Linked DNA regions of Neodiprion lecontei. The protein of the gene in region 2 binds, or shares a complex with, the protein of the main gene of each other region. Links are inferred from orthologs where the notes say so. Each region holds a gene or a part of one and is shown on either strand. Other genes may lie near its edges. The genes, in order: N6-adenosine-methyltransferase non-catalytic subunit and E3 ubiquitin-protein ligase Hakai.

Evidence for each region.
Region 1: E3 ubiquitin-protein ligase Hakai (region 2) and N6-adenosine-methyltransferase non-catalytic subunit share a complex: the UniProt entries of both Homo sapiens proteins name them as parts of the WMM complex. The link is inferred for Neodiprion lecontei from reciprocal best matches to the Homo sapiens genes CBLL1 and METTL14.

Annotation. Positions count from the first base shown.
Region 1 is NC_060260.1:28,912,512-28,919,892, reverse strand, and holds N6-adenosine-methyltransferase non-catalytic subunit, read left to right. Parts: upstream 1-2,788; 5' UTR 2,789-2,928; coding exon 2,929-2,985; intron 2,986-3,093; coding exon 3,094-3,270; intron 3,271-3,498; coding exon 3,499-3,816; intron 3,817-3,896; coding exon 3,897-4,279; intron 4,280-4,381; coding exon 4,382-4,619; 3' UTR 4,620-4,843; downstream 4,844-7,381. Other genes in the region: protein bicaudal C, read right to left, coding at 2,342-2,386. UniProt on the Homo sapiens protein: The METTL3-METTL14 heterodimer forms a N6-methyltransferase complex that methylates adenosine residues at the N(6) position of some mRNAs and regulates the circadian clock, differentiation of embryonic stem cells and cortical neurogenesis.
Region 2 is NC_060263.1:32,455,897-32,463,618, forward strand, and holds E3 ubiquitin-protein ligase Hakai, read left to right. Parts: upstream 1-3,058; 5' UTR 3,059-3,194; exon of another isoform or gene 3,195-3,312; intron 3,313-3,396; 5' UTR 3,397-3,398; coding exon 3,399-3,500; intron 3,501-3,577; coding exon 3,578-3,889; intron 3,890-4,013; coding exon 4,014-4,202; intron 4,203-4,297; coding exon 4,298-4,981; 3' UTR 4,982-5,648; downstream 5,649-7,722. Other genes in the region: choline transporter-like 1, read right to left, coding at 274-413, 632-721, 821-1,212, 1,848-1,993, 2,610-2,720; transmembrane protein 115, read right to left, coding at 7,057-7,261, 7,454-7,630. UniProt on the Homo sapiens protein: E3 ubiquitin-protein ligase that mediates ubiquitination of several tyrosine-phosphorylated Src substrates, including CDH1, CTTN and DOK1. Targets CDH1 for endocytosis and degradation.

The DNA.
Region 1 (7,381 bases), on a different chromosome or scaffold from region 2:
CGTTTCTTCAGCGCTATCCGCATGTGATTCCACACCAGGAGTCGCAATGATGTTCAATGACTTTGAGTCAATTTTTACGCCTCTCTATGTGAAAGGATATTTCAGTTATGTGACAGCGGTGAGAAGCAAGGTGATTCATTTCTCACCTTTGATCAACGATACGACGTTTAACAATTCAATACACTCGTTATCTATCAACCGATATACAACCTACCGCGCGGCGTAACAACACTTTTTACGTTTCCGGTTTCCGGCCGGCCACCCGAATTATATTCGTAGGCACAAAAGAACCTGGAAATATTTCTCAATTTTTCGTACACGAATTACGAAAAATATCTTTATACCGTTTAAGGAAATTGCCGGTGAAGCGAAATTCAATACCTCTGTAATAGTTGACTTGATTACAAGATAGTCAAACATTGAGAATTCACCAAATTTCTATATATTTGTAGGATATAGTGATGTTCGTTAAGCAATTCAAGAAAAACAAATTGTCGTTAGACATCAATTGTTCATTTCAAATCAGATTAGGTTAGTTAAACATCTAATAGCTTCGTTTGATTTCGCTCCACGTCTGGGCTTATTTTCGTAGAAAAACTTATACATTTCACAGATTCACTGAAACGCTTCTTGTTTTGTCAAAAGTAAATTCAATGTTGTTCGTTGTTTTTTTTTTTTGTCCATCAAAACCAGTATCAATGCAATCTTATGAAATTGAATATCGACCTATACCAACATGACAAGTCAAAGTGTCTCAAGCACGTTCGTGGAATTGTAGAGAAGGGTCATTTCAACACAAAATAAGCCATCGTGGAATGAAATCGAACGAAGCCGTCAGATTTCTTCTTCGCAGTAACGTTACTAACTTCATGCTCATGAGTAATTACGCTTTCGGTACCAGGATGGTGTTCCAGTCGGTATTTACCTCTTCTACCATATACCTTGTGAATTATTCTTATACTACACAAGGAAGAATTCGGGTTGGAATGAGTAACCGGGTCTTTTAAATAAAAACACGGCAGTTGCGCTGGCAAACTAGCAACGGACAACAACTTGCCGAGGCATAAAAACCCTCACGGAGTAGAGGGGAAAAGCCCGAGCAAGCCAATGAAAGATAGTGAACTTGTTCAACAAATCAAGTAAAATCCAAGTACGTGAAATGACGCACAAACCACTGCAAGCCGGAGGCTTAATTTCCAACTTATGTTAAGATGTCACAATGAGAATGATCATTCGCTTAGCTAAAACAATTAAGAGAGCTCTCTTACCTACAGGATGGGACAGCCCTCGGGATGTCGTAGCAATGTACGTCAATTGGAGAGGAATGTAAACGTCTTGGAACAAGTCGCGGCAGGTGCGCGTCGGAATAACCGGGACCTCCACGAAACCAGTTAACAGAATTTGCAAATTCACAACACTAGAATGACAACACTGAGAAATCACCAGACTTGATATCTCTCCGTTCGCAAGAACCGTCCACTCCGATATCTTTATACCGTCTGGCCTGAGTCGAATGCTTTCCAAGTCCTGACCGTAGGCCACCCTTCTCCACACCGGTGCAAGGGAAGGCAACTCAGGCCTTTTCCGGAAGGTCCCAAATCCAGACGCTTTCTGTCTGGGTTCCGTTACTTTCAAATAATTTTACAATTGTCCTTATTGTCCAAATTGACACCGTCTGGGAATGTAAGGACTAAGCTTTATTAGACCCGTCGCGGTCAGTTTCAGACCCCTGCGGCCTTCTCCAAACCTGCCGATCGAACCATGGGGACCTCCATGCCACCATATCGAGCGCGCGAATATGCGATTATAAGACTCATAAGTAAGAAACGCAAGTGAAATGAAATGGACGAATGCAATAAAGCTAATTAAGAGGCGAAATCCCTTTGCTCTACACTTTACAACGTGGAAGCGCACTAGGCGCGACGACCTTGAGCGTGCGGGCGTTCGGTAGCGGTGAATTTTAAGGAGAAAATATCGAATGATTCAATTTCAGATGACAAGCAGTATACGTTATATACATAAATATCAAAAAATTGCGATTTATTTTAAAATTTATGGGAATATATAAGAAACTTCGCAGTCATTACATTTATACCACTAATTTAGACAGTCAAAGTATAAGGACGAACAGTATAAACTAAATCCACTTCGAAAATGATATTTCCGCAATTATGGAAATAACAGTTTGAAATGCATACATACATACTTATATCGCACATCACATTACTGTTTATGACAGTCATCTTCCGCCCTGAAAGAAATACTAGAGGACGCCAATTATAATGCACTTACAATTAACTACTTTTCCTGCAACCATGCTTATTATAAAAGAGCGGCTTACCGTTTTTGAAGAGGTACGACATAGCCGCGCAGCATTTCGTCCCATAAAACGTATTCATTCATTTTACATCACATGTGTCGAGGTCCGACGAATTAATAAGCGCCCGTCACAACAAGACTTGATGTTATTTTTTCACTCTACTCGCCTAAACACATAATGAATTTGCGACTAGCGCTTTATTTATTATTACACTCGCGAGTTTGAATTGCACCGGAAGTAATTGCATTCTCACGATTCACCGCGGCGTTTGATAAATTACGCAATTCATTCGGAGGTCGACAGTTCCGAATGTAAAGAGCAGACGAAGGAGCGAACTACGGACAACGGATCGCTGCACCCCGCATCAAACTATATATGAAACTGAATTTACTGAACCCCCCGATGCAGTTCTGAGATCCAATATATGTCATGCATTCTTGGAAATTAATCTAGTTCCGCTCTCCGGTAGGCTCCGCCACTTGGCAGCACAACAGATTGCTTGTCAGCTTACGTATGGGTGTATTTTCGGCCACCTGCTACATGTCGACAATTTCGTGCCTCTGTTCAGTTTTACTTTAGACAATATTTAAAATAACAAGGAGTTTATAATGTTGCAGACACTTCGAGAGCGCTCTAAAAAGCGAAAGAAATTATTGGCTCAAACGGTGAGGACACACTTCTCGCTGATCAGTCAGTCTAAAATCGTGTTTCTGATTTTGAGGTTATGTCTGATGTAAACACGTTATAATTTGTAATATTTATGTTATTTTCAGCTTGGGGTTTCGAGCGTGGATGAGCTTAGACAAGTTTTGGGTACAGACATCAATGATGCACAAAGGAAACGTGAAAAAATGTCATCTGTCAAGTCGGATGACGACCTTAGAGAACAGAAGGATGACACAGTGTCAACCAACGAAATAGTCTATAAAGATTCTTCTACGTTTCTTAAAGTATGCAACCTCTTAATACTATCAGTTTTTTTTCCAGTGTTAGTAATTGAATAATGTTTAAACAAAAAAAAAAAAAAAGCAACCCTCTTTGTGTACTTTTAGGAAAACGCTCAGAAATTTGTAGTAAACTATATTTCACCCACTCTTGCATAACTTTTGTATTAGGTGTAAAATCAGTTGTAACTTGGATTCACATTCATACCAAATGATACCCTTTTCTTCAATCAGGGAACACAATCCTCAAATCCCCACAATGACTACTGCCAACACTTTATCGACACTGGACAACGCCCTCAGAATTTTATACGAGATGTAGGATTGGCGGATCGATTTGAAGAATATCCAAAGTTGCGAGAGCTTATTAAACTTAAGGATGACCTAATTTCAGACACTGCAACTCCCCCCATGTACCTGAAAACCGATCTCCTTGCTTACAATCTGAAAGAACTAAATTGTAAATTTGACGTTATTCTCATTGAGCCACCTCTTGAAGAATATCAAAGGACATGTGGAGCCACAAATGTACAACTTTGGAATTGGGATCAGGTTAGGCATGGTCGGTAATGAATTTTTAGTAAACCTGGTCAACGCACCTTTAACTAAGAGTCATAATAATTTTTTTCCAGATCATGGAGCTCGACATAGGCGAAGTAGCGGCAAGTCGTAGTTTTGTATTCCTCTGGTGTGGTAGTAGCGATGGATTAGACATGGGTAGATTTTGTTTGAGAAAGTGGGGCTTCAGAAGATGTGAAGACATTTGTTGGATACGTACGAATATAAATAATCCTGGACACAGTAAAAATTTAGATACTAAAGCAGTTTTGCAGAGAACAAAAGAGCATTGCTTAATGGGAATTAAAGGGACTGTACGAAGATCTACAGATGGTGATTTTATTCATGCAAACGTAGATATTGATCTGATTATATCTGAGGAACCTGAGTACGGATCTATCGAGAAACCTGTTGAAATTTTCCACATTATTGAACATTTCTGCCTAGGCAGAAGACGGTAAGTACCATGCAATTTCCAAAGATCTTCGTTAAACCCAAATCTCACTTCTTGTTGCTAGCAAATGAGATTATTATATCTTCCCTACTATTTCTTTAACAGATTGCATTTATTTGGGCGTGACAGTACGATCAGGCCAGGCTGGCTTACAGTGGGACCAGAATTGACTAATACGAATTTTAACACTGATCTGTACACTAGCTATTTTGCAACTAGCCAGATCACAACTGGATGTACCGAAAGAATAGAAGCACTCAGACCCAAATCTCCACCACCGAAAGGAAAAGTCTCTGGCAGAGGGAGGGGTGGTTTCAATCGAGGTCGGGGGAGAGGCAGATAATCTGTAATTCCTAATAGATTACAAGTTTTTAACGATTATCGACTTGAACGCACAAAAATATCTCATGCCGAATACAAAAGAACAATTTTTTATCAATTAACCTATTTATGACAACATGCTACATCAACTGATAGTGATGCTGCTCAATAGTATTCTTTCTTGTTAGTTGTTTACAAATGCATACTGTACGTTTCTGAATCAATAAAGTGAATTTGAACCTCTCATATTGGATAATTGTTTTTTTTTTGTTCTTTAGTAAGTAGGTATAATTGCATTACACAACCAAATTCTGTTTAACAGGGTTTGAAATATCTAAAAATGTGTATCAAGTTAACGGTATTAATCATCGTGAATTCAATATCCGGCTGTTGCAATAGCTGTACTTTGCTCTGTCTGCTTGGACTCAGCAAAACACTGTCGTTACTTCATGTTCTTAAGAATTTGTCATTGTCATCGACTGGTCATAATACTAATAAAATGACTGGAGAAAATGCATGGTTAAAAGCCTACATCTTTTACCATTCCAAAATTGCTGTATTGATTACGAACTAAAAAGAATAAAGTATTTTCTTGAAATCATAAGTCTGAAAATTATTGATCAAATTCGTTTATTTAAATGCGGAGTTAAAAATTAAAATATAAAATTCTCTCATGTTAGATCATAAATATAACGCTAGAGATGCAAGACGCCAATAGAAACATAAGGATGAACACAGAAGAATAAAATAGATTCCAATGACGTAAACCACCGATAGCTCGATGCTGAACAAAAACTCATCTCCAAGTTATGTTTACGAGATATAACCGGCAAACATATGTATAAATATGCTTTTCCTAATACTTCCACCGGTATCGTGCACCTTCACACTAAACTTGTATGTTATTCAAGTATGTTCTGCAAATGTGCATCGACTGCTCTCTACACCATTGCAGGAACATTACCACTAATGTGTTAATCTACGAAGGGAAAATGAATAAGTTATTTTCTGAACACAGAAAAAAATTATATTATGTGTCTAACAGCGTTTAAACACATATGATAGTCTGGATGGTATTGCACCTTCCTAGAATTATCTATGTGTAGCTGTGTTGGCAATACAGCCAATATTGGCCTCGAATATTCTGCTTACACAGAAATAATTTATAGATTAAGAAAAACAAACTACATATTTGTATTCCTTCGGGAAAGAAGAAATTTTTATTTTTTAGTCTATGTGAGATCAAGTCAACTTGTTTGTACTCTATAGGTTGAATTGAACAATACGGTAATATGAAAATAGGTAATTCATAATAAGTATAAATACTTGATTCACAGCTCTCATCTGTTATTAATATGGATTTACAAACGAGTACTTTGGGAAGAATCTGACAATATGTATCACGAATTACTTTCAATGCAATAGAGATGATCGGTATTTTGAGACTATGTATCTTGATTCTGTCAAAGTTCTGAACTCCTGCAATTCGTCTGATAAATTCCACTAATGAGTAAATTCACAATAACACATAATTCATCAGTATTTAACGTAGCTAAATTACATTGAGACAATTTTTTAAACAAATCGAGTGCAACAAATTATTATCATAGATCGAATTAATTATTAATGTTATAACTGAGTTCAGGTATTTTCTATTCGATGAGGTAACGTTTTCATGTTTCAGTAAAATTACAGAACAATTCTGCGAACCAAACCTCGATAATTTGTTGTAACATAGTTGTGAAGTAAGGCAAAACTTATCCCAAGTGGCATTCGTTCGCGTAAACAATTTCAGCAACATTTTGGCTTACTTCATCAGTGAGTAAAAAGTATATTAAACACTACATATACTAGATTTAATTATTAATCTATCGGTTGACACAATAAAAGAGACGTCATTATTTAAAAAAAAATGAAAAATTATGTAATCAAATATCAATTCGAAGCACACTGTTTCACGTATCATATTATGAAAAAGCAGCGCAATTGTGCATATTTCACTGCAGGTATATTTTATAAAATGGTCCATTCTACTAACAAAACGTGAAGGATTCATAGAAAAACCTGCGCAAAAATCAAGATTGGTATAAAAATATACGACGAGTTTATATAACTATGCTGTACAGTGTATAATAGAATTCTAAGAGATGTCTTCAAAAAGATACAATTGTAACTTAGCTTACTTTAACTTAAATTAATTGTATATGCTAATTGAATTTTTCTAAATACACACAATTGCGCAATTGCAGCTTGAATGAAAGAAATTTATAACTCGATGTCACGTAATTAATCGACGTGACGATTTTGTGCTACTTGTTTATTACATGTAAGGACTGAACTGGGGGAGCTGTAATTATGTAGCCGTCGTTCATGACTCGACTTGGCAAAAAATAAAATCTGTCAAGCCTGAATATTGCAAGAAAGTAACACCTAATTTTACTATAACACCCTTGCACAGACGATAATCAACTGTTAACAATAACACTTTAAAGCATGATCATTTCATATTTGCATTGCGCCACTGGAAACATATCACATGGCCATGAATGTTTATCCTAATCAGATACAATAAAATTCATTAAAATCGTCGTAATTGTGAGCAGTCTAATAAGAGCCTATGAAGAACAACATTTGTTTATGTGAAAATAGTTCCCGTACCGAATATAAACGATTCCTATCAAAATCGGATATAAGAATAGAATGGGTAAATTTTAAATTCGAGAACGTGACAAATATGGCTTCAAATATTTTTTAAACTTGAATCCAATACCTATTACTTTTTAA
Region 2 (7,722 bases):
ATAAAAATTATCTTTGTATAACATAAATAATTTAACGCTATTCTACGTCGTTTTGGTGCAAAGATTATACACATGTAGAAAAGTAATGCACAAAAGAATTCAGTGTACAAATATTACCAGAAAAGGATTCTACATCTCATGTATATCTTATGTATCGTCTGGGAATGAAAGGGTAAATTTCTCTAACCAACTACTCCAGACTAGATAATTTCTCTAAAATATGAAATTCTGATCTCGTTGACAAAAAATTGATAAGGAAGGTTAAAAACGTACAGTTAGAATAGTTGCTACAATTGAATAAATCAGAAATGCTTTTCCATTGCGTACGGACTCTTCTAATAGCTCATTAGGATTTGTTTCATCCAATCTAATTTTGATACGTATGTATGTCCACCACAGCAAACCGGTACCACCTAATTTTGAGGAATATAATGATAAGTATTAGATAAAGATGTTTAACTATGCAATATAATTCGTTCGCTGTTTTCTTTAGCATTTGGAAAAATGATTCACACTGTTATTTCGCATAATAATATTAAATTGCAAACTTCATATCATAAGCAAACCATCAAGTATTTAGATTATTCTATGCTTGCATTCTATATATTTTTCGACATGTTAGAAAACTCACCGATACAGGATACTGTGACTAGGATCATTACTATCCAGCTCACGATGCTTGCCAATAAATGGAATATAGCGATCATGAACAAGGACAACACTGAAATAGAAGAAAACTTTTGTAAGAAGAATTTTTGTTAATTGAGAATTTTATATCGACCCTATGGATTATTTTGTAGTAAAAAAAGTAATTATTTACCAAAAGCAAGAAAAGATAAAGCAACAATTTCTCTCCAAGTTTTATATAAATCTCCTAAAATTTGTTCAATTGCATCCCATGAATTGATTAATCCATAAACGTTGGAAGCTATAGTCTCTGCAACTTTCCCTATAGCTCTTGGAATGCAGCGATTCAGTATGACAGTACTATTATAAACAGGAAGCACTGGGCACGCTCCGGTCTTATCTTTTGAATTCTGACTGGTGCATGCGCTGAATTTACTTCCTGGTCTATCATGACACAGCTGTGATCCTGTATCTTTATAGAACTGGCAAACCTGTTCCATTGTTTCCATGTTACGATCCGGGCATTCTTTAACACAGATTTTCAACGAGTCCTTCAAATTTGCCACATCCAAGAAGAACAAGTATCTATAATATCGATTTCATGTTATTATACATGTATTTCATTTTACCTCAATGACACTTCAAAAATATCACCTTTATTAAGCATTTTTTATATACCACATATCGTCTAACATAGTTACGTACGATTAGTTGTTTTATATTTATACTTGTGTGATGCGATTACATTTTTAATGAGTGAACATGTAATGGATTCCCATGATAAGATAACTGTGGCCAAATAGTACTTCAGTAGTAGGCAACTATTATGTGGTTGAGCAACATCCGCGGAAGCTCATTGCAAGGCATGGGAAACGGGTGCAAAAATTACTCGTGGGATTCCAAGAACAATACTATTTTAGCAGTGAAAGAGTCAGCAAGTGAGAATAACTAATGCAACAAACAATGATTCAATCTTTCTTTTTATTTTGTGTTAAATTTTTGAGAGGTGGCCAAAAAGAAGGATCAATCGTTAGTTAACAGTCTTTTAAAATTTAGCATCCGTACTCCTAACCCTTTACATCTCAATGCTGAAATTTTCCAAGGTTGAAGACAATTTTTTATAATTTACCCCATAAGTTTTCCTGTAGAACTGGCAATATTCAAATTAAACAATAGTTTTAGAACTTTCTTTTGTAATAATTAAAAAATATAGTACTCACGGTTTATCACTGGTGTCTTGCCCGGACAGTTCCATGTTCCCAAACTTCTTGTTGTTTTTTACACCACATGTATTGTCAAAGCTATCAAACCCATTTATCAAACGAATTGGATTACCATAAACCAATGCAAATGCAGCTATCAATATCTAGAAAAATTAAATACATATTGCATATAGTTTCGTATTAACTTTACTCTAATTTAATTTATAACCCTTAAGCAAATATGATTTTCCAAATAATTTAAACCGCAAGAAAAAGACATCTGTGATACAAGTAATACGTTAATTTTTTACTCTCAATTCAATTTTGTGTTGCGTTTTTTCATTAATGGATTATTTCCTACAGCTGAAATTTTCGTAGCATAAAATTTCTGTGTGATTCGACACACAAAAAGAAGTTATGGTGAATGCCGTTGTACAAGTAGAGTTCACTTGTAAATTTACGTAGAATAAGGCAATCACGAAGATGACATAAAATTAAAGGGGAGCACAATTTTGCAACTAGGCAATTAATACCTACTTTCAATGAAATACTCATTAAGGAGTAATGTTAATAAAATTGCAAATGGACCTGGATTACTCTTAAAATTTGAAGACGACATTTAGCCAGCATGAAAAATGTTTACAACATCGATTTACGTATTGTAATACTAAACAGAATTAATTTAATTAGCTTGTCAAACGTCTGATTAGATTCTGAGTCACGTGCTAATTACTCTTGTACAATGAGAAAAATGACTTACTCTCGGCAGGTTATACATACCATTAAAAACCAAAACAGAATAAAAAGACATAACCAGAAAATATCCGTACAGCCGCGGACCCGGGTAGGTTCAGGGCGTTCGTCTTCGTCGTCCCCACAACAGCAAGACATTTTTTCACAACCTCTGTATCGTGCACCAGAAAATTACAACGCCCATCCGGCTTTGACGCCTCTTGACTTTAATCCCGAGCTCGCCTTCGGCTAGTAAACTAACTGCCAGCTAGTGGCAGCCGCTTGCCTTTGTTGTTGACGAATGAAGATCGTCACTCCGCCCGGACGCGTTCCTGAACTATTCTTGTTATATCACTTGTTGTGTGTGTTATATCGAATCACATTCCATTTGCGCGTTATATCGTTGCCGTGGCAACGAAAACAAATCGCATCCGGCGGGATCAGTGAAGTCGTTCGCACTTCGCCGACTGGCTGTGTTGGTGTTCAATCATTGTCAGTTTCATTTCGAACTCGTGTGCGTACGGAGTGTAGCATACGCGAGGTTGGTTAAGCGACATGAACGTAACATGATGTTATAAAATATTTTCTGTTACAAAATCCAACCTTTGTAAACATTTCGTCCAGTATTTTAAGGTCTGTTTTTAAAAAATATTGTATTAGACGGATTGTGGATGATAGGATTCGCTTTGAACTTCATTTCACATCGTACTGTCTCACTTATGTCTTCCATTTCGAACCTAACCTAACACATGTAAGCAGGTTATCACTAGTTGATGTTCAGAATTATGGGCAACCGAACTGATAGTGCATTGATACTTCATTCGTGTTGTTTTAGTTATGGAGGAAGATGGTGCCAAAAGAATGAGGGGCAGAGCACGAGGGAGAGCCCGTGGCCGTCCTAGGGGACGAGCTAGGGGCCGTGGGAAAAAAGCTGTCAAGGTGTTTATTATGAATAAAAGATGACTGAAAAAACTGGTATACGCATAATCACCTTCATTATAACTCATAATCCCCAGATTATAGAAAGTGATGAAGATGATGTGCCACAAGCGGCTGAAGAAACTCCTATGGAAACAAGCGGGGTGGAACCTGAACAACAGGAGCCTCAACAAGCTCAGCAACCACCAATCGAGCAACAATTTGATCTGGAAGCTGATATATCACAGCTAGAAGCTCCGACCTTTACAACTATAAACCGAGGACCTCCCGAACCAATGTTACGTCTTCGTTGGGACCATAGAGTAAATCTTATTGGAGAAAAGGTCTTAAATCCGATGATTCATTGCTGCGACAAGTGTCTTAAACCGATCCTTATTTACGGACGTATGGTAAGGGTTTGATTATGAGCGAATTTGACAGTATTTTTTTTTACTCATTTAAGGAAGTGATGGGTATCCTTATAATAATCAGACCAAAATTTGACTCATTCGTTTGTTGTCTCATTTGGATTAGATACCTTGCAAGCATGTGTTTTGCTTGTCCTGTGCTAAAAGAGAGGATAAAGTCTGCCCAAGGTGTATGGAAAAGGTTTCCAGAGTAGAGCAGACTGGGCTTGGTACAGTGTTTATGTGTACTCATGGTGGAACTAGGTACGGAAATGCCGGATGTAGAAGAACCTACCTAAGTCAAAGAGATTTACAGGTTTGTTTGTTTACAGTGATGCGAAGGCAGGACTCAAAATGTTCTTTTCCAAATATTTAAGAAATACCAAGTAGGATATATATTTTCTTTCTCAGGCTCACATCAATCATCGACATATATCAGCTCCTTCTGCGCCGGTTCAAGGATTGCAAGTTGACCAGCAGTACTTGCATTCTAAACCAGAAATGGATACACAAATGACAAAAATTCCACCAGTTTCAATGCAAACTAGTAGAATGAAACAGGTTCAATCTCACATGGTTCAGCCAATAATGGGAAATGATCCAAGAGTTAATTCTATGGTGAATCAACAGCAGGTTGAACATCGGCAACAGCAACACAGACCGCAGCCTATTATCCCTATGCAAAACTATCAACAAAGCTCTGCCCCACCTCCTACCAATACGCCGATGAGGACGAACCTAATAACTGTACCCATCCAAGATACCACTATAACTACACATGACATGCATAATCAGCAAAATCATCATTATTATCAACCTCCTCCTCCTCCGCCGCAAGTGAATTACGGAGGCTACAACGTACCTCCTCCTGTTTCACAAACGCAACAGTACTATCCTCAGCCGCAGCATCCGTCGCAAGTCACCTACGCCCCACCACCTTCGCAGCAGCAGTATGGTCCTTCAAGTTCGACTGCAATAAGACCACCTGCAACCTCATACATGCAAGAACAACAGTACGGTCCTCCACCTCCGCAGCAACAGGCACCTCCGCCGCAACCTCAGTGGACCCAACATCAACAGCAGTTTTATAGATAGGAATTGAGTCTTTTTTCTTTTCTGCTCATGTACGGCACATAGTCAAAATTACCGCGACAAGGTTTACCGTTTAGAAAAAATATGTGTTAATAAAGTTTGAGTGACCTACCGCTATCCACTGTTCAATCTTATAGATGCATTTTTCCTTTGCTTTGCGAATGTGTGTACTTGTATTAATATCAAAAAATGACGTTTCTATATACGTACATTACTTCTAGTATATCAAAATCGAGTACACTATAGATTGACTACGTTTACACTTTCATATTTTTACAAGTATTTTAATAGGCTACTAGTGAAAAAACTATCTGTATAAGAATTGGTTGTATTCTATTTTTAAATGTTATTTAAGAGCACCTGTACAGAATGGCGCAGTTTTTTTGATAGTTTGTTTTCAGGTAAATTACGATATTTTTGTTTTAATTATATTGGGAGCTGAATATGTTTTTTAGTCAAATCGAACAAAAACTCCTGCACTACATACACATTCTCTTATAGTTCGAGTTTATATTGAGTAATCTCTAGCCTAAGAGTAATAATTTGTACCTACTTTGCAAAAAAGTAAAGAAATTGTAATCAGAGAGATATAATATTGTACAGAATGACAGGATGCAATGTATTTACAAAATCAATTATATTTAACATTTAAATATATTATATAATATTACTTAAGTTTCTCATCATTTTACCTAGCGAATGTTCATTTATTCATGTAGTGTTACCCCAGCCATATACTTTGCAACGCATTGAATTGTATTCTCACTCAGCCTCCACACGAATCTTTGTTGATTCCAAACATAAAAATTCTTTAGAAGTACATTCCAGCGCTGCATAAGTATCAGGTCAAGATACTTCATTTTAAAACTTTAATAGTTTCTGAAGAACTCATTTATACTATGCATAAAAATAGTTTTTCAATTTGAATCCATCACAAAATTATTTCGTGTTATATATAACATGTCCGGGTTTCTTGCACCTTGATCCCATCGTATTTATTTTCACGTGCTTATGCTTTGGTTTTATCTAAATCATTCTCTTGGACACATAAGCTGGACATAACAGTGCACTTCAGAGTCCGAACGAATCAGGTCACCCGTTTTCCTACATACAGGCAAGTCACAGAACTACAACTTGTAGAATTCAAAAGTTGTCTCTTGTGCAGCGATAGCTTGTGTAAGAACTCCCAACAAAAGTTCTTGTATTATTATACACACGTATAACTTATTACATGATAATTCTTTTGCAGGAAGACAGATATAATCTTTAAAAGGCTGAAAAGAAAAGTGATGAAATGAATCATTTGGGTTTCATAATTATTATCCTCGATTGATGTAAAAGAATAGGCTGATCTCAATGTATTTGTCCATCCTCACTTACTATGAGTTACGGTAACCAGATGCATTTCTGTGTTACTGTGCATTGAAACGATCTTGTACTGATAATTGGAGTGTGAGGTTACTGAAATGCTTGAAGTGCAATTCTAACTGTAAGAGAATTGAGAGACTATATAACACGGTTGAAGTATAATTTTCTGTCAAACAGTCCGTTAAAACTTACAGCAACATTTTATAATAAAGCCACGTTAATCGCAAAATCGATCGTTTTCTCATATGAACTTTGTAATAGAAGAGCAGCGATACTACAAAGTATAGCAGGAACGTTAAACTTTCTAAGCTTGTGTTTTCCAACTCGTATTAGAACACGCTTTTGATTTTAATGTAGATCTTCGAAATTCATCGACATCTACAATAATAAGAGTTTAAGTTTTCAATGGAAGTCCAGACATGAAAAATTCTCTGACATTATTAAGGTTTTCATCAGGTTTGATTAATTTCTTTGTAAATTCTGTGATTTTCGAATTATTGTGACAAGTAGAGGTCACGCTATATTTTGACTGTGCAATTATTCAGTTTACGAGATTCAATCTTCTCAATGGGATTTTAGGATACACATAAAAAGAATAACTTTGACTACAAACTTTTCACTTTGTATACCAAATCTTGCGCATATGAGATCATTTTGCAAAACCTTTGCCAATTTTTACAATATTATTGAAATCAGTCAATTCTGGATGATCACGTGCTTGTGGACGGGTGATTGTGTATGTTTACACTGGTCTGAGGGATTAGCGGAGACGCCAGTGGCTTTGGTGTCGTTGATTCGGGTATTGGGATTGATACAGCTGGCGGAACAGGTGAATGCTTCTTACTTCTATCTGGTTGCCAAGGTTTGGCGTGATCCTTACTTAACCTCTCACTAAGAGCTTTTAATGCTATTTGTCTGAAAACAAACATAGAAACAATAAATGTTGAGAGTAACATTTCTAACGTATAATTTCTAACTAATTCATATTTATGTACAATTTCGAATTTTTAATAAAATTTTATAGTATAGTTTGGTTTAAAGAAATGCATGACAAGGCAATGTCAACTTAGTACTATTAATTCAAGTGTCTTTTTTTCTAATACATACCTACGTCTTTCGCTATCGTGAGGATCGATTCCTGGTAAGCTAATTACCAAGCCTGGAGGTGCATTGGACATGTCAAATCTGCGAACAACTTTTTTGCAGACACCAAATCGGACTAGAAATCCATGTACTGTATTTCCGACAACTGCTATGGGTGGCTGTAATACATTGGGAAAGAAACTGAAAGAAAATTGCGATTGTAGTTGTTATAAGATTTGATATTATGTATCTACGTAATATTTTCAAGGTGGTATTAGAGAGCAGTTATGTTT